2 linked regions of the Oryzias latipes genome follow. The protein of the gene in region 2 purifies or fractionates together with the protein of the main gene of each other region. This does not show direct contact. Links are inferred from orthologs where the notes say so. Each region holds a gene or a part of one and is shown on either strand. Other genes may lie near its edges.

Region 1 (10,024 bases), on a different chromosome or scaffold from region 2:
AAAACAAAAAAAAAACACTGGGAATGCTTTTAGAAAAAAAAATCAAAGGATGGTTGGAGAGGGTCTTTATTTATAAATATCTTCATTTTGTTATGTTTTCATATTAACAAAATGTGTTATAAAAAAATCCTACTATAACATCAGAGGTGATTGGTCCAGACGTTTCTTTAGATCAAACAGTAATTCAACTAAGGTATGATAAAGTTTCCAGTTTATGAAAAATATACATTTGTATTAGTACCATTGCGTCACACTAGCTGTAAAAATCAAATAATAAAATGTTGTTCAAGTAGCTCAAGTCATCGACTGATCTTGGGATCCCACTGCTACCAATTTTTTTTTTTAATAGCTTAGGCGAAAAAAAAACAGTCTTATACACGACCTTACCTTAACTTTTGTGTGTCGAATAATAGGGATAGCTTCTTCCACCATGTTAGAGTTCAGGGACTCTTTGCTCTGAAGGTCAGAGCCTAGGCCGTCAATGAGGCTAGCAGTGCCTGCTGAGGTAGTGTTATAGCCGCTATCCACCTGAACAAAAGAAGGGGAAACATTCACTTAGACCTTCATTAAACAATTACAGTTTGTGTTGGAGCAAATGTTTGTTTAAAAAACCTGCATGCTGGAGTCATAGCGGATGCTGCTTCCTTCTGCCAAAAGTGACAGAAACATCTGAGAGCTTTCTGTCCCAGACACATTGCCCATGCGAGAGCTGGTCAGCTGTCCCGAGGGTCGCTCATCTTCTTCCTCCTCCTCCTCTTCCTTGCCCATTTCCTTATCCTCTTCCATTTTTGTATGTTCCACAGTATCCACATAAACTCTGTCACTTTTAGTTGGGTGAAGGTCCTGACACTGAGGGAAGGATGGATCAAAATCCATAGAGGGAAGAAAAGATGGAGAGTCTGAATGTTGGTGTTCTTCTGGCTCTTGACTGTCTTGCAGCTTTGGGTTGAGAATTGGAGAAATGAGTGGAGGGGAAGCCCAGACACGGACTCTAGGTTTGGTTCTGGAGACGCGCGGAGGCTCCTTGTGATGTTGGAGCTGGTGTGGGGAGCAGCTACGAATTGGAGAGCAACCTTCAACAAAGGGACTCTCGTTGCAGGAGCTGACATCTACATCCAGGGGAATAGACAGTGGGGTCACGTTGCATCGCTGTTTTCTTTCAACTAACACGAGAACAGGCACAGATTAAGGATAAAAAGCCAAATATAATCCAGCAATATTTACATTTTTAAAACAGTGAAATGCTCTACCTGAGCCTACAGGAGTGTGTGCAAAATCAGCAAGAATTGGAGAGATTGTTGGGGAACCATGGCCAGCAGGAGATGATCTATCAGGAAACAGAGGGCTGCCAATACTGCCAAGGCTACAGTCCCTGATGCAGCCATGTTGGATAGGACTAGAGGAGAACTGGCCCTTCGTTTAAGAGAAGTAAAGCTAATTTTAGTCATGCATGTCTTCATCTATTTTTATGCAAACATTTAAAGGGGCAAAAGATACTCATTTTTTACAGCTTTACATGATTTCTATCCTATGACCCATTTAAAAAAAAAATACCTGGCAACCCAATTCTCTATTTTTTGACACACTGAAACTTACAGTAGAAGGAGTCGGGGCAGAGATCCCGCATGACAAAGGAGAAGAAAAAACTGGATTTTCTCCCTCAGAGCACATGGGTCTCGGTCCGCTTCCTTGTCTTTTGGTAGGAAGCCTCTCAGCTCGGACATGAGCTCTTTCTGGACTCGGTGGAGTGGAGCTGTCAGAGCTGCTGTAGCTAAACTGTCCATCGAGAAAGAGTTTTCTCCTCAAGGAGGAGGAACTGAGGCTCTCCTGCACTGCATCACAAGCCTCATCGTTACGGTAATATTCTCCTAAGAATAAGAAAGAAATGTGACTTAAAACTTTCATTTCAATGATTCTCCTCTTACATTTAACAGAAGCTTACCAAGTAGTTTTTCCAAATCAAATGTTGAAGGCAGCGAAAGGACCGTCTGGCAACCAACTGTAAGATAAAAAGATGCAGTTTATGGAAAACTAAAGCAAATGAACAAATTTAACAAATTCTAATAATTTTAGATCCCTTCTTTTTTTCTTTTTTTTTAATACGAACATGCACCAACCTGAGATTTTTTCTGTCTGTTCTGCAGCTGTTTCAGACAAGGGACCTAAAACAACAAGACAAAACAACAAATGGTTAAATACACATTAATATTACTAAAAACAAGGAATACTTGAAAGTTATTATTCCAAACAGTTGGATATCTTACTTTTCTTATAAATATGAGGGGCTCTGCGAGTTTCTGCTGCTGCCCAAGGAGAAGGCACTATGGCTCCTTTGGTAAAAAACTTTATTCAGCAAGACAAAAGACATGAGTAAATCAGTAAATTGTCAACAAGACTTCTACTGAATTATTGCAATTTTAAAAAAAGATTGCTTTTAAAGTCCAAAACCTGCTCAATAGCACTCTGAAATTTTTCTTCAACATCAGAATCGGTCCTGAAATATAATAAGAAAATAATTTAGGTATTTAGATCTGCACAATAAATCACAGAGCTATCGCCATCTTGTTATCAGCCTGTGCAGTATGCGTATCGCAGAAGACAGTGCAATAAATCATACCATAAATGTTTACACACATGCCTAAACAATCTTATGGCAGCTTGAAGTGTTTCAAATTCAAAATAGCCTGTTAAGCTTTTGACTAATTGGATGGAGCCCTTTTATGTTAGATGCTTCCCTCCTATCAGGTAAAAGATCATTTGGAGTATAAATCAAGTTATACTGACTTTTATTTTGATAAAACTGTTGCAGTGAAATGAAAAAGATGTATTAGTTGTTTCATGTTTTACTTTGGGTTCATGTATCGTAAGTCACATCGTCATCGCAATATTGATCACCAATATCGCGAGTTTTCCTGATATCGTGCAGCCTTAGTTTAATTACAGTTTGTAATTTGCCAAATATTTAAGACTGGAATGCAATCAAAGATTTGCCACTGTTAACAAAATAAGGGATTCAGGACACACCTTGTCTGGCTGAGGTAAAAAGACTGTCGCTGGATTTCTTCTGGGTCTATGTGCACTGGGAGAAGGCTGGCCATTTCATCAATAGACCAGTTAAATCTTGGAGGGGTCTACAGAAAAGACAAGATATGAGACAAAACTACACAGCAGCCTTAAGACACATTTCTCGAAGTAAAAATTGCAAAACACACTTGCAAAAACCGGTTTCAGCTTGACTGTGTAAATAATATTCAATTTTAGTATAAGTTGTGGGTAAGAAATTAAACTTACAGCTTTACAGGACTTGGATTTAAAAACAGATGGGCTTGGAACCAAGGGTTCCCGGAGATGGTGGTAATCATTTGGACTCTCAAAGGGGTTTCTTATGGAAGGCCTGCCCGGAGTCTCTGGAGTTATCTCTAGCTCGATACGGTCCCCCATCCTGGCTGAAAATTCAAATTCAAGTTATAAAGAAAATGTATTACAAAGTACACTTAAAAACATTTTAAGTGTAAACCAACATGTATTTTTTTTACTCGATCCGTTAGCTAGCTGTGATGTTAGCTTGCAAGGAAAACAACAGTTTTAAAATCAGTTCAAAAACAACATAACACCCATAATTTAATCCTTACCGACACTGACTATGTAATTGTTTTCCGCCCCTGGTACTTACATGTTTTATCTGACTTGGACTGTAAAGCGACTAAATCAAGAGAAAGTCTTCCCCTGTCGACTCCACAGTGGTATTAGGAAGAGAACAATTCAAACGTTTATTTCAATTTCGTCCACGGAGCCAGCCAACCAATAGAATCGTTACAGAAAGTTGTTGAGGACCAATAGCGACATCTGTGTCGTCATTTCCGCTGCTAGTTTGCGGACGGTGCATCAACTTTGATGCAAGCTAAATGCTAATGCGGCATTTTATCGTATGTCAGAATCCGAGTAAAGCAAATATGAGATATTTTAAACGCGGCCGTGTTGTTTAATTGAATTGTTTTCATCAACGTTTTATCAGGGTAACATATAAGCTGTTGTGTATCTGCTAGCAAGTTCTAGCTAGCTAACTAGCGTCATCGTAATGGCAAGTGCAGCTAATGCTAACCTGAACGCAGTCCGGGAGACTATGGACGGTAAATATTTTAACTTGTGTGCACATATTAGCATATTTAATAAGAATTTCAAGATTATCATTAAATCATTCTATTAATTTTAAACTTTTCGCTTTTCCTGAACAGTTCTGCTAGAGATTTCAAGACTGCTAAACACTGGTTTGGATATGGAGTCCTTGTCCATTTGTGTGAGGCTGTGTGAGCAAGGCATCAACCCTGAAGCTCTGTCTGCTGTCATCAAGGAGCTCCGAAAAGCTTCAGAGTCTCTGAAGGTAGAAGAGAAACTACCACATCTCATTACAGACCAAAACTTATGTCCGTGTTTTTTTCTTCTTTTAGTGTTATCGCGAGTTCTATAACCATTTGGAAACCATTTGTTAAGCTTGAGTGTCATTGTTTTTTTATTTTTACATTAAAGTCTGTAATGATAAACATCATATCAGTGTAAATAGTAGTGATGGGTTGATGATGCTTTAATGAGTTTGACACATCTCCCAAACTGTTGACTCTGACATAGTGTTGCTCCCTCTCTAGTGACCCCTGCAGTAATTCTGAAATCATTGCAGGTAAATAAAATAAGAACGGCATTTTTGGTGTTTTTAACATGTTCTTGTAGCACTTTTTTATGATTGATTACATATAATAGAAAATTAACATTAAAACAGCATTTTTGATTATTTCTTAATTAAGAAACCGGAGAAGTCAAATAATGCAGTTTGAAAAACTTGCAGTTGTGACATAGAAACAACAGCCATTAGGCCAAACTCCCTGCTCTGCTCTAGTCTGATGCCTCCACTGGCAGATGAATAAATTTATGTACATTTTTGTTTTCCTCGTCTGAGCTGGAATCTGGATCAAAGCTGTTCAGGTGGATGGCTCAAATATTGTTCACTATATTTGTTGCACCGCTAGTGTGAGCTTGGGGTTGTCAGGGACTCAGTTAGCGGGAGAGTGTAAACAAGGTGTCGCTCGTCCCATCATTAGAAAATAGAGCTGTGGTATTAAAGTATTTCAGTATTTTGACTTTTATTTAACACAAGTTGTTTGATTGATGCCCACATACTAGTGAATCCTTAAACTTGATTTTTTTTTCTCTTTAGAATATTTTCTACTATTTAAATTTATTAAATATTTTATCATCCTTGCCACATCAACCCAACGATACTCTAAGCTTTAAAGTGTAAACTCAAATATTTTAATTTATAATATCTTGCTTTTTTTATGTAAAAATGGCTAAACCTGCAACTAAATCTATGAATGAGAAAAGCCGAGGACTGAAAAACATTTGGCGCATACAGATGAATTAATTCTGTTACTAAACGTCCTGAAAACAGATCCTTATGGTTTGTAAATAGAAATATAGACATGAGTTTATTTTTTAAAGAAAATGTAATTAATTAAATTTTCTCTGAGCTTCAGAAAAGCTCAAATATACTTAACATAAGTCCAGCATTCAATTTGCACTTTTACAGAACTGGCTTTGTCTGGTTTTGCAAAGTGCTTTACAGCTTCTTTCCCATTCACATACACACTTGCTGCAAAACCCAATGATCCACATGCCGAAATGAAAGCTGTTAGACTTTTCATCTGGAGTACCTCGTGCGTAAACGTCAAGCCCAACAAGACACCGACATCTAGAGGGACTGGGATCAAACTGTTTTCTGTGTGATTAATAGACTGCCTTGTGTCCCACCTGAGCCACAGCCACACCATTTCAAACAATAAATCATGATGGTTTATTACTTTTTATTTTCAGGTTTCTGAGAATTGCACAACCTGAAGATGGAATCGGAGCCCATCTGTGCAGGACTTTAATAAGATCATCCCCTGTTCCTGGATCTTTACCAGCTTTCCCGCCTCAATCCCAATCATTTTGACAGTGACTCAAATGTTTTCTACTTTTTTCATTTGTTTGTTGTTGTTTAAAAGAAAATGACTTACATTTGTTGTTTTTCAAACACACAAGACACAGATCTGAGCAGCACTGTCAAGTTTAAGCCTTCTTTTGTTTTGTTTTTTCTCTAAGCAGCATGGATGTTGGGTTTGACTGTCAGAATGTTTTATATCAGAAACATGTTGGACATTATATGTTAAAATCTTTATTGATTTTTTTTTTCAATGTATATTATTGCACTATCATTTTTTTTCTTGGTCATTTATTGGCACAAATCTATTTCTGAAGGTCCTGTAAGTTTTCAATGGAATTGTGGGAAATAAAATGTTACCATCAGTGACCACAAGGGGGAGTTCTAGTCTTTGTTCTCAGTATTTATTTAATTGTTGGGATTTTAAAACAAATACCACTTTATATTATTTCTGATTAAAAAAAACTGTAATATACATTTAAAAAAATAATATTTGGCTTTAGTTTCTTTTTTGTACGTGTCATGGTCTAATTTTGGGTCAGCAGTATAACATAATAACCTTATTTGGTTGGATTTTACAACGGAAACAATCTTTCCTGTCAGACCAGGTGAAAGGGAGAACAGACTTGAAGAACAATGCATAAATACAGAAACAATGGAGGAGTGGCTGCCTCTCCAGCCAACAACATACTTCACAACAAAAAAGACACAAGCAAGGGTCATTCTTTACTGCAGGATATCCTGTAAATCCTTGCTCCTTTATGCCTGCACTTCATCCACCTAAAGGATCTAAGATATACTGCAAACTTGACAAAATAAAACAACTTTGATCTAGCTGTAATAGAGACCCTAGATCACATGTCTAACCAAACACCATTGTTTTGTTTCTCTGCTGTCTTTAGAGTAACTATTCATCTTCCATACAAGGGAAAATGCTGAGATCACAGAACATTTCTCCACAGGCCAATGTATGACCAACCCCTCATCCATACAGGCTCAGTTCAGTAATGCGTGTGTGGCTTTCCCTGTTAGAGACGTGTTTGTACAGTGTTGCAGATGTCTACAAATGAGTAACCCTTAAGCCATCTGACAGTTAAGCCCGACTCCTTCCTCACAGGCAGAGCCAGCATGTGCAGGACTGTGTGTGTAAGCATTTCTGTTTTCTGCTTTGTCTCGCCATCTTGACTGGCGGCCTGCGAGTCTAAATCTCCCCATCGCTGCTTTGATCTCTTAAAACAGTATCTCTCTCCCTCTTCTTCGATACCAGCACCGTGTCAGGCGTGCAGGACAGACGTGGTGCAGTCCTTCTTCTTGACAGTTCACAAACTTAAGCAACCTCAGGTCTCAGTGGGGGGCGAGCGGAGAGGTGTTGATGGAGAAAGAGCCACAACAAAATTTCTTTTTCTTTTGGAGTTATTCAGGGCTTGATTGGCTATTATGGGCGTGGGATTCAGGATGCATTGCTGTCTGTTTGATCTGTTTGGAGGGTTTCTCTTTATCCAAGCGAGTTACTTTGATCTCTCTTAAACAAAATATTCCCAAATCCCACAGTCCTTGCAGAGATTAGCGTCCACATATGCATAAACATCTAAGAGGTGTTGAACTAGGGCACTGGACAGATCACATGACTATATCAACCTAACAGGCAAGCAGGTCTTCACATCCAAACTTCTGAAGGTGTTTATATTCGAACGTCTGATAATTATCCGGGCTGAGGTTTATTTCTTTGATAAATGAGGGCAGTCTCATTTAAAAGTGAAAGATCTGAGTGGAGCTGTTGTATTTAAGGTATGTGCCTCGAATATTTTGATAATAATTAGACTGGTCTGCTCAGAGGTTCACCAAGTTTTATGTTTTCTAAACCTAAATTTGGACCTTGTTGTGCCTACTTTTTGGCTTTTGATTGGGATTTTTTTTGTTGATATTTTAAGATTGCTTTTAGGAGATACTTGTGTTCTGACAAAGTGCACTTAAGCAATCAAAAAAATTAATCCATGCATTTGTGAAACTTTGAAATTAGACTTTAAATTTACCAAAAAAAGCTGTTAAAACCTTTAAAATAGTCTTATCTTCACCATTATATACTCAAAATCATTGGCACAGCAGGATTTCAAGTAAAAATTAAAAAAGAAAATCAAAAATTAATAAGAAAAAATGTAAAGTTCCATGATCAGTTACTTACAAGTTTAGTGTTATTGAAGAAATTAAAGATGAAAAAGATAAAAAAATTAATTAGCACAAAAAGAGCATGATTGTGACCTGACAGTGCTGTCACTTTGGCTTGATAACATTCTTTTAGATTCCTAAAACTTGCTTTGTGACATAGCAGCATTTTCAAGTACGTTTTAGAGTGTAAAAATAGCATTAAAACTATGAAATATTTAAAAATTGAAAAGTAGCTGGTAAAGTACTGTATTGTGTTAATCAAAAGTCATAGAAAGCAGCACATTTTAAGTTTGAATTTAGGTTTTATTTAGTAGACCTGGGCTCATTAGGAAGCTGGTTCTTTCTGTGTGCAGCATCTTTGCTGCCTTTGCTTTTGCTTCCTACAGATCCCAGAGTCCCGCTGAGTCTGTGTGCCACAGGGAGATCAGAGATGTGTTTAGGGGGATTAGAATCAATTCTATATTTAACTGGAAGTCTGTGCAGAATATGAGTGGTGGGTTCAGATCTCCAGATTCCATTAAAAACTCTGAATGAGCTGCAGCTGTCTGTTTATAAAGACTAAATGAAAGACTGGTAAGTGAGTCCAACCTGCAGGAAAAGAAGGTGCAAATGAGCTTTGATGGTTAAACGCTGCTTGAGTTGTGGCCTTGATGCGAGACCTGTAGGTGGAGTCAATTGCAACTTTAAAAGAAATTAACTTGACATTTCATTTTTTTTATCCTTTAGAACCGAACTTATCAGAAATGTTTACCCTTTATTCCTTTTTTCAAAGATAACCTTATTGCATTTGTGTGGCTCTCGCTGCTGTGTCTTCCTGATTATGAGATTTAATTTAATTTTAAATTTGAAATTCTCAGTCAAAATGTCTTATTTTTGCTCAGTTTTAACTTAAATTAATGGCTTTCATTTTTTTTTTTTTGACACATCAAGGAGTCTGTAACTTTTTGGGCACCCTTTTTTAACTTTTTTATTGTTATTAACCAGGATAATCCCATTGAGATTAAAATCCTCCTTTGCAAGGGAATCCTGGCCAAGAGGCAGCCACAGTCAGTTTATAACTCACAGATATATTCAAACAGAACAATAAAAATATAATAAACATGATAAAAAAATATGACAACATAACATTTTAAAATTAAAATACTGAAACATAAAACAGTGAATCTTGAAAATAGTGAAATCGGTGATCAAGAGAAACAATTACCATAGATTAAAAAGTTCGTTTATATATATTTCGGATTTAGTTTCAGAGGACACATGCATCAAAATGCTTTTCCAAACAACTATTATTAATACATTAATTGTCAAAGAGGATTTACATATCAAAAGAAAAATGTGCTTCCATTGTTCTTTAGAAAGTTAATAATGGTATGTATTAAATTTTTTTTAATTTTTTTGTGTCTCTGCCTTTGCCAAAGTGACGTTCAACGCTGACATCCAGTTATCCAGCAGCATGTTTCCCAAAGACGTCAGGTGTGGGTGTGTATTCTGTCACAGAAGAGATCAATTAATTGTATTTCTGTGACTGGCCAAGCCTCTTTGACCCTCATCGTTCAGCAGTGCGAAGCTTCAGGGACTGTTTTTGCCCTATGAGGAGTTTTGTGACCTTGTTAGAGCTTTTCCCCCAATACATCACTTTTGATTAGATACAGGCCACCGTTTTACACCGTAAGATAGTGAGCAGCTCCCAATTAAATTCAGAGCAAGAAAATTGGATCATAAACTATGGAAAATATCATTAAAAGCCATTAGACACAATAATGGCATGACAATCAAAATATGTAAAAAAAAAAAAAAAACTTTCAATGTCTTTTCGTGACTTTGTTGCTTTTGGACATTTTCCAACACGATTAATGTAAAATTGATTGATTTACAGTTGTAATT
Region 2 (9,361 bases):
TGACGGCGCGCGGCTCGTTCTCTGGCGGAGCCAAACCGAGCCGGGAATCCGCCGCTGAGGCCCCGCCTCCGTGACTCACGATTTCACGGAAAGAAAACGGTCATGACCGCGAGGAGACGTAGCACGTGACAGAGGAATTTCAAAATAAAAACTTCAGAAGTTCTGTTATGAAGTTTGTGGCGCAGAGCATTTTATGCTCGCAACAATTTAGCAAACAAAAGAGGCATTTAAATATTCATTTTTAAACCCAGCACTCGATGCTGTAAAAAAAAAATAATAATTCCATGTCAGACCTTTGTCCTGTTTAACCTATTAGTAATGAAAAAACCTATTCTGAACTTAGAAAAGACGATTTTGGATGAAAATATCAAATGAATTTGATTGAATTGTATAAGATTAATAAAGTTATAGATATGAGAAGCGAAATAATACAGTATTTTTGTAAATAATGTCAATGAATAAATTGTGAAGCCCTATTTTTCAAAAGTGAAATTTAGGATTTTAAATAAATTTAAATTGCCAGCCACATAAGAAACTAAATTAATACAATTCAAAGATCTAAACCACTATTGGGGAATTTGTATATTTATAATAAGTTGTTACTTTTTTAAATTAAATTATATATTTTTTATTTTTGAATTTGATTTTAAAAAAATCAGTTTATTTCATTTTCTCTTGATGAAGAAAGAAAAAGGAATTCAGTTAAGATGAAAATACAGTCAAAAATCTGACATGGCTTCATATCCTAAAAAGGTCCCAAGTATCTTCACATAGACATAAAAATCAGAAAATAAATTTGAATTTGTGTTTTGCTCATTTTGCTATAAAATGGAGAACATCTGAGGGTTGAAATAATACAACTATTTTTAAAACACTTCTTTAAAGTTTACCCTTCTAAAGCTTTAAAACTACAGTATTAGCAACACACAAAAATCGATTCACATTAAAACGTATATCTTCAGTTCTCTTGTGACATAACACTATTGACTCGACATTTTCAGCTGATTTTTCTTTATGTTTAACAAACCAAAATTCATGCTTTTATTTTGAAGTTTGTCATCTCAAATTGGGTTATGTCTTATTATTTCAGACGTCAAAACAATAAATTCCCAATCCCTTCTTCAAGTCACAAATCCGTTCAGCCTAAATTCAGTAAAAAGGTGAAAGAAACAAAAGAAATCTGCAGCAGTTGATGATGGACTAAAGTGTGCTTATTGACTTTATCAAGCAGAATATCATTTACAAAACAACAGAGGTAGAAATGCGTAAAGCAAATGTACATTTTTAATGAAGCTCAATACAACTTTTTAACTACAGAGTCGAGGCATAAATACAAATTTGCACATACCAATAATATTGAATCCAGGACACGGTTTATACACATTATGTACTTGCTGACTGTACAAACTGTCTGCAGCTAAAGCTAGCGTCTGCTGTATGACAGCTAATGAAACACAGATGACAACTATGCTGCTGCTTTCTGACTGCGCTCAATGGCCATCCTCTCCAACCGCTCAGTGTAGAATCCATTGAAGTCCAGCCTGAAAAGTCATATTCAGAAAAACGTTATTTTAATGAATGGGTCAAGCTGATCAAAACAAACAATATTCTGTGCATTTCAGCTCCACGTGTTGTTTGATAAATCCTAAGCATAAACATAATCAAGACCACTGGGACCGCTTTGATAATAGATCAAGTGGTTCGGCAGCTGCACGGCCGCGGATAAAAAGAGACTGCAGAGAGTCGTAGAGACGGCTCAGAAAATCATTGGGTGCCCTCTCCCCACCCTGACGGACATCTACTCCGCGCGCTGTCTCACTAGGGCTCAAAACATCATTAAGGACAGTTCACACCCCGGCTCAGACCTGTTCAACCTGATGCCCTCTGGGAGGCGCTACAGAGGAATCAGAAGCAAAACGAACAGACTAAAAAACAGCTTCTTTCCAAAGGCAATAACCATCCTCAATTCCCAAATGCACAGATGAAAAAAAAACATTCCTGTTTACTCCAACTATCTACCTCATTGCCACCTCTGCACTTTTGACATGTCTACGCACAGTTTTTTTTTTTTTTTCATACGCAATTTTTGCACAATTATCTCGGCACTCTTCAATACAGTTTACAGCTTATATTGCACACTTGTATATACTGTTTGTTCGCTTTTTTGATTTTATTATATTACAATGTTTTATTTACTACCTTTCCCTCCCTTACTGTTCTTGCACTGATGGTGAAGCTTAAATCTCATTGTACTATGCACAATGACAATAAAGCCATTCTATTCTATTCTATTCTATTCTATTCTATTCTATTCTATTCTATTCTATTCTATTCTATTTAAAAGAAATAAAGCTTGGTCTTATTTGAAACTTTATTTTGTTTTATTTTGTTTTTTTAAGAATGATTGCTTATGTACAGACTGAAAATGCTTTTTTTTTTGCTTTATATGCTATTTCCAAAAACTGCAGCATAATGTATTTTTTCAAAACGCATGACCAACTTGCATATTGAACTGACAGTTATAAAAATGCATTTTCATTTTTTAAATGTTGGTACCAAAAAGCCAGGAAAATCTCAAACCCAATGGATTTTTCTTTATTTAAACTTGAATTTAAAAAAAGGAAGACTGAATTGAATACATTTTCTTTTTAAATTCTAAATTACATAATGTATTTTCAAAATGCAAATTGAGAATACAATCCGATTTGGATTATGGGTGACAAAAACCTCCATGCAAAAACACTCAGAGCTTCATGGGAAATTCCCCCACTACACAACAAACAAACAAACAAACGGACAAACAAACAAACCCGGAGCTGTGGGCCGGCGTCTCACCTGTAGATGATGCTGATCATGCTGTGCTCACAGTCATTGGTGCTGTAGATGCTGAGTTTGTCCAGCAGGTCCAACAGCAGCATACTGAAGTTACTGTCAAACTTGCTGATGGTGGCTTCAAAACTGGCGTCCGACTGCAGAGCGTCCACCTGCTCGGCTGAAAACTGACACAAATGAGAGAAGAAAAAAAAATTGTCAATAAAATGTGACCTGAGCAGAAAACCCTTCAGAGATTTCAAAGACCTTTGTGCTGAGCTTCTTCTCGGCTTCACTCTGACTTGGAGCTTCGTCCATCGTCCCCTGCTCTCGAGACAGACGCTCCAACCTCATGGTCTGTGTGAACCGCTGCAGTGACACATTCATCATTTTTCAACTTAATAGGTTAACTATTTAAAAAAAGGCTTATATAAAACGGTTTTATCTGAAACACTTCAACCATGGAACCATTGTCTGCATAAAAGCATGTCAACATATACATCAAACTTTAATAGTCATGTAAAATCTTTCATTTTACATCTAAATCTTCCTTAAAGTTAACATAGACATTAAAACTACATAAATCAGGATGCAGCGTTAAAAGAAGAAGAAGCAGTGCAATCTTGTTTTTTTCCTCTACAACAAACCTGCATGCTGTTTGTGAACATGACACAGACGGTCATGAGTTTGGAGAAGATCCTTAGAAGCTCCGGGTTGGTCAACATGCAGTCCTTCAGGCAGTTGTCCAGGAAACTGGTGTGGTGGCACAGCACATCATCAATGTTGGAGGCCTGGTGAAGGAGAGCAGACACGTCTCAGCTCCAAAAAGCTGGAAGCATCACGTCTTCCTGCAGGCTTCTTCACTCACTGTTTTCAGGTTGTTCTCCATGATGTGCCATGTGGGCTCCATCACCTCAAACATCATGTAGTACTGGATGTTCTGCACAAAGTTAAGCATGCGCTGGCGCAGGGCGAACGCCGCTGCAAACCTAAACACAGATCGCAGAGTCTGAGGACTTTTTCTGACTGATATTTAACCAAAGCGTCCATGAAATGATGTCAGCTCACCATTTGGCACAGTGCAAGGAGTACAGCTTGAAGTCTTTGTTGCTGATCCACACGTTGCACAGCAGCCGCTCCACATGTTTGCAGAAGAACATGTGTCTGAATAACATCTGGTATCTTGTTAGCGCTTTTCTGAACAACAAACACGAGCTGTTATTAGCACAAAATGTCATCATTTATTGAAACATCATTCATTCGTGTGCCATAGAGCTTTAAATTTCTAATACAGCTGAGCAACAACTGTGTGTGTCGAAACACCCCAAAGCATCGGTGAATTAAAATCACCTAAATCCAGCTTATTTGAGGCTCTACTGGCCTTTAACTGCTTTACAGGCTTGTAAAAATAAAATAGCTTAAAAAAAAACCTTCCTGTTATGAATCTTTGTTGCACTACCTCTTCTAAACACTAGATGTCAGTGTTACCATCTTTTGCTTTTACATTTTTTTACCCGTGGTCGCTGCCTTTTTTCAAACCATGGACCGGTTTAATGTCAGACAATATTTTCACTGACCGCAAATGAGGCTAAAGTGGGCATCAGATTTTATTTTTCCTTCTCTTAATTTTTAAGGGTAAAGTTTATCTTCATCCCCTGTAAAACATCTGCATCTGCTTTAAACTTTACTTTAGACAGCTGGTTGATAACTATTATGCATTATAATTATGGTATGTGGGAACAACTGTCACAATAAATCCATATTTGCAGTACAGACTCCTGGTTTTTGTCTGTTAAATGCAGATTGCATTTTTTTTTTTAAGTCAAAGGCACTTCTTCTGTTTCTTCACAGAAGATTATTTTCTGCCAAAAGAAACGTTTGTTTTTTCTTAACTTTGCTAGCTTGGGGATTTCAGTTTAGCGGTTGGCACAGCTGCTTTAAGAAAATGGTAGATGGATTTTCAATACGTGACTGCAGGGCTTGACATGCGTCAAGAATGTGCTGGATGTGTTTGAGAGAATCCAGTAGTTTTCCTAAATAAAATTTCCTTAAGAATCAGATTAGAAATAAAATAGTAAAAATATAGGCCTCTTTTTTATTTTCCTCTCTCTCTGCGGCTCAGTACCAAGTGTACCGGTACCGGTTTGCGGCTGGAGACCACTGGTTCATATCCCATTTTCTATTTATGGTCAAGGTACACAAGAAAGAACAAACATTGAGCTGGACTGCTCAGTTGTAAAGATTTCCGACCGACCTGTTGATGATGAGCGAGAGCGGCCACTTAACAATGTAGTCGAAGGAGAAGGCCTCCAGGCCGCTGAGAGCCGCGTCCGCCTGCTCAGCGTTGATGATGGCCTTCTCCTGTTTGGTCTCGATGGCCAGCACTCGCAGCAGCTGAGTGATCACATCGTGAGGCATCAGGTCAATCTGGAGAAAGAACAGCAGCGTTTTGAGGAATAAAATACAAATCTGAATAAAGTAAGAGGGGCATTGAGATGCGTTATCAGTTATTTTGATGGCTACCTTTAATACTAAATTGGTAAACAGACCTAATGTGCATTTTTCTGTTGTTAAAACCCAAAATTTCCTGCAGGAAAAAGTGTCCACAGAGAAAATGTGACCTTGTGTGTTTGTCAGGAAAATCCCACAGCTTGGTTTGGTTGAATTTTTCTTTTAAATAGCTCTAAAGGTGCTATTGAGTCAGAAGATAACACATTAGTTTCCATTATTCAGTTGCTTTTGTTTAAAATCATTTTAAACACTGGAAATGTTTAGGATTAAAACCCTGCAAAATAAAAGCCTCTCAGTAACACCCAGACAAAGCAGCTGCCTTCAGTTTGGACAGAGGTCTGCCCCTCCAGCACAGAGCCCCGCCCCTCAATGAAAGCCCTAGAAAAAGCCTGATCAAAAGGGTCTGGGACGGCTCACTTATGACTTCACTAGAGCTCATCTGTTGAAGCAGAGTAACAGAAAACATGATGGATGTGGAGCCCAGTGGACGTCAATGATTAAGAGAAACCTTGGACTCAAGATTATTGGCCAGGCCAGTTATCGGCACTGATATTTGTTATTTTGATGCATGTCTGCATCAGCCTTTTCTTTTTTAATCCAACGGACCGTTTTTGAACTGGTTATTTTGGCTCTGATGCAGCAGCACTGAGCGGTCTTCAGCAGTATCCGGCCACAGCCCTGTGCCACACTACTAGCAACTAGGGCCGTCACCTTTAATGAGTTAAGGCGCCAATGCAAATGTCTTTCAACGATGTTAATGGTGCGTTAGAAAACGTTTGTCCAGCCTGTAGTAAGAGGAAAAAAAGAAACAGCGCAAGCACCTCAGCTGCTCCATGCGCAGGTATAACCCCAGCCCCTCCCTCCTCTGCTCAGAGGCAACATGCAAACATGCAAGAAAGTTTCTTTGCACACCATCCTCATCATTCCTTCATCTTCAGCGAGGATTATGCCATTAATAAGTTTCTTTTTACAGTAAATGAATATTGGCTCTAAATATTGATTATCAGCCTTCTTGACTACCGGTAATAATCTGCATCGGTCCTGAAAAAAAACCCCACATCGGTGGATCTCTGTTTGAAATTTGTTGGCCCCACCTTGAGGTCGTCTTTAAAGGGGTCCGTGTTGGCGGTGCTCATCCTCAGAGCCAGCTCCAGCAGAGCTTCAAGTCTGGGGGGGACGATGTCGTCCACCGGCTTCTTCAGCTCCTCTTCTGTCAGATCCATGAAGTGCACAAAGAAATCTCCTTTGTCCATCAGGAAGTAGTGCTTGATGGATCTGGCAAAAACAAAATTACAATTGTTAATGTAATAACTGTTAATATGTCATTATTGTGAGCAGTAAAGATGCTAACCTTTCATGGAAATCTAGACTTAATAGACAAAAGAAAAAGAAAAAAGCTATTCTGGACAAAGAAAACGGTTTACCTCAGACGAGAAACCAGCTCCTTCTCTTCCATGAGGAAGTCCAGGAGGACCTTGCTGGCGTAGTTGTAGGCCTTCTCAATCTGCTCCACATAGGCCCGCTCCTTCAGGGTGTACAGAACCTCCTTAGCGTCAGGACAGGTCACATCTCGGCCGCACTCTCGCACCACGTTCAGGTATTTCCCTGTAAAGTGTCATCTATAAGTCTTATGCGTAGAAAGTCACGTCTCTCTTCCTGTTTGGGTCTGTGTCCCTGTACCTGTGCTCAGAATTTTGTCTGCCATTTTCTGGAGAAAGGAGGGGATTCGATGCTGTACAATGGTGTACCTCTGGTCCCAGTACTTGTCATTATAATCCTCCTGGATCTTCTCCTTTTGCAGCTCATGCTCCTCCACCATGAACTCACTGAAGTGGAGAACAGGAGAATCTGTGAGCGCCAGGAAACCCCTTATCAGGATTTTTTGTCTCCCCTCTGAATGCAGACCTGTACGGATCCTTGATGATGCCTCTGTAAATCCACTTCTCCAAAATTTCAAAGTACGGCACGCTGGCGGCTTTAGTGAGGTAGAGGCACAGCTCCTGCGCCTGGCTGTCACCTGTGTAGTTGAAGGTCCGGTCATGCAGAAGGCTAAGCGTTGCTCCGCCCATGCACTCTCCTTTGTCCACAGAGGAGGCTGGAAAACAGCAGATTTCAATAAACCCGTCTGTATTCCTGTTTTCTGTCCTGCTTTATCTATAATTCAGAAAATCCAGAGACCACAGAGGTTGTGAAAATTGACTCAAACAGTGGGGAGAAGTAGAAGCCGACCATTACCACATATTTTGGGATTGTCCCATTATAAAAATTTTTTGGAAGGAAATACATAAACATATTGAATATATATCAAATAAGACAATACCCTGTGATTTTATCAGTCTGTAAGACACAACTCCCACCTACCAATGAAAATTTTATTCAGAATATTAATACCCACTGGTAATAAAAAGCAGTGACTAGACACTGGCTCCTCCCCACTGTACCCAGCTTGGACAATTGGATAGACATTGTAAATGAAATCTGCCAGATAGAAAGACTAACCTATTCACTTCGGAAACAGATGCCCACAATGGATATTCTATGTTAATCACTTACAACAAATGGAAGTAATGAATGTCTGGCTTGTAATTATAATCAAGTTGAATGTTTTAGTGTGTTTTTTGTTTACTTCTTTCCCTCATAATGCATCCGCTGTTCCCTGTTTTGTGTTTTGTTAGACACCAAGTTATGTTATGGAAAAAAGAAAAGAAATGTTGAGAATGGAGATATAAGTCATGGGTCCAAAATTGGACCTAAGTGAATTTAAATGTACGGTTTTATAACTTTCTCAATTTTCCTAAATAAAATTTGGAAGAAAACTGACTCAAAGCTCCCCCTGGTGGTTCAAATGAGAAGCTGCTTCTGCAAGAAGAACCTCAAACTTAACTAAAGATACAACAGTGTTGAGGGATCGGCTGTCAGTGTAGATTACACTTACACAAAGGGCAACTATTAAGGACTTTTACAACATTTGCACACATCTGAATGAGTACAAACTTTATTTGAAAGTAAAGCACGCCCGTACTTTCACGGTCACTAAATAGGTATTTTTTTATTGCATGGTTGGCTAAAAGTATTAGAAAAAAACTGGTACACTGAGCACAAATCAAACAGGATTGTGACTTTTCAAGTCCACAAATATCCTTTGTAAATGTAAACAGCAGCTAAATCATTAAGGTTTAAGTAAAGTTCGCTACAGCTTGCAAAGTGCTCACTGAGGTAACATACCTGCAATAAATTAAAACCTATTTTAGTGCCACGATTTTCTGATTTAAAAATTTAATTTAATTTAATTTAATTTAAAAAGACTGTGGCTTAAAGGCTGAAACTTACTTAAAAAAAAGTAAATGCAAGACAATGAAATGGTAAAAAATGCAACTGCATCTTTTACTAATTATAAGAATCCTTGTAAAAAGATTAAAACTTCCACAGCATGAGAAAAAAGAAAATTCCCCTGTTAAGTAAATTAAAGAAAATTGGATTGCACTTCGATCATCTTTTGATCTATTTTCAAAGTGTTCACTATATTTATGCTGCTTTTGGCCAAAATAAAAAAAAATAGGTGTTGTTTTTCTAGTTTCTGCAGAGCGGCAGGAGTTCATCAGAAACTCTCCTCTGAGTTGGGAAGACCAGTGGTGCGCAGTAAGCTTGCATTCATTTTCCATTAGTCCTCTGTCCACACTCTCTCGTGCTACCTTACAGCCCCTCAGAACCCGAGCAATCACAGATGCAAACAAAAATGGCGAGCAATGTCAGAGCTATCCAGCCGTACAATTTAGATCCAGATTCCAGCTCTGACGAGGAAAACGAAGACGTTCATGAATCTGTTTGTCTGTAAGTGGATGCATCGGAATGGAGCAGAGCAGGGAGCTTGTGACCTGTCGACTGTAGTTTGTACGTCACAACTACAAGCTTTTTTAAACAGCATTTTTTCGTCTGCTCCTGAGTCAACACAATAGAGAAATACTCTAACGATGTTTTATCTTAATTTTCTTTATTTAATGTCTTAAAAAACGACACAGACTTTTGGATTTTGGCTAAA

Evidence for each region.
Region 1: the proteins of tubgcp2 (region 2) and mzt1 purify together in Homo sapiens (affinity purification with mass spectrometry; 4 studies listed by BioGRID and IntAct, counting the BioPlex papers as one, with this or other methods). This does not show direct contact. The link is inferred for Oryzias latipes from reciprocal best matches to the Homo sapiens genes TUBGCP2 and MZT1.

The regions. Positions count from the first base shown.
Region 1 is NC_019873.2:18,602,948-18,612,971, reverse strand, and holds mzt1 (mitotic-spindle organizing protein 1), read left to right. Parts: upstream 1-3,777; 5' UTR 3,778-4,078; coding exon 4,079-4,130; intron 4,131-4,235; coding exon 4,236-4,381; intron 4,382-5,865; coding exon 5,866-5,889; 3' UTR 5,890-6,349; downstream 6,350-10,024. Other genes in the region: bora (protein aurora borealis), read right to left, coding at 388-528, 613-1,163, 1,251-1,413, 1,597-1,868, 1,943-1,999, 2,118-2,162, 2,265-2,343, 2,449-2,494 and 2 more. UniProt on the Homo sapiens protein: Required for the recruitment and the assembly of the gamma-tubulin ring complex (gTuRC) at the centrosome.
Region 2 is NC_019877.2:19,483,605-19,492,965, reverse strand, and holds the end of tubgcp2 (gamma-tubulin complex component 2), read right to left. Parts: intron 7,418-9,361; coding exon 7,228-7,417; intron 7,149-7,227; coding exon 7,003-7,148; intron 6,928-7,002; coding exon 6,747-6,927; intron 6,598-6,746; coding exon 6,417-6,597; intron 5,239-6,416; coding exon 5,066-5,238; intron 4,009-5,065; coding exon 3,880-4,008; intron 3,801-3,879; coding exon 3,680-3,800; intron 3,603-3,679; coding exon 3,459-3,602; intron 3,181-3,458; coding exon 3,079-3,180; intron 3,000-3,078; coding exon 2,836-2,999; intron 1,542-2,835; coding exon 1,466-1,541; 3' UTR 1,303-1,465; downstream 1-1,302. Other genes in the region: zinc metalloproteinase-disintegrin-like atrase-A, read right to left, coding at 1-1. UniProt on the Homo sapiens protein: Component of the gamma-tubulin ring complex (gTuRC) which mediates microtubule nucleation.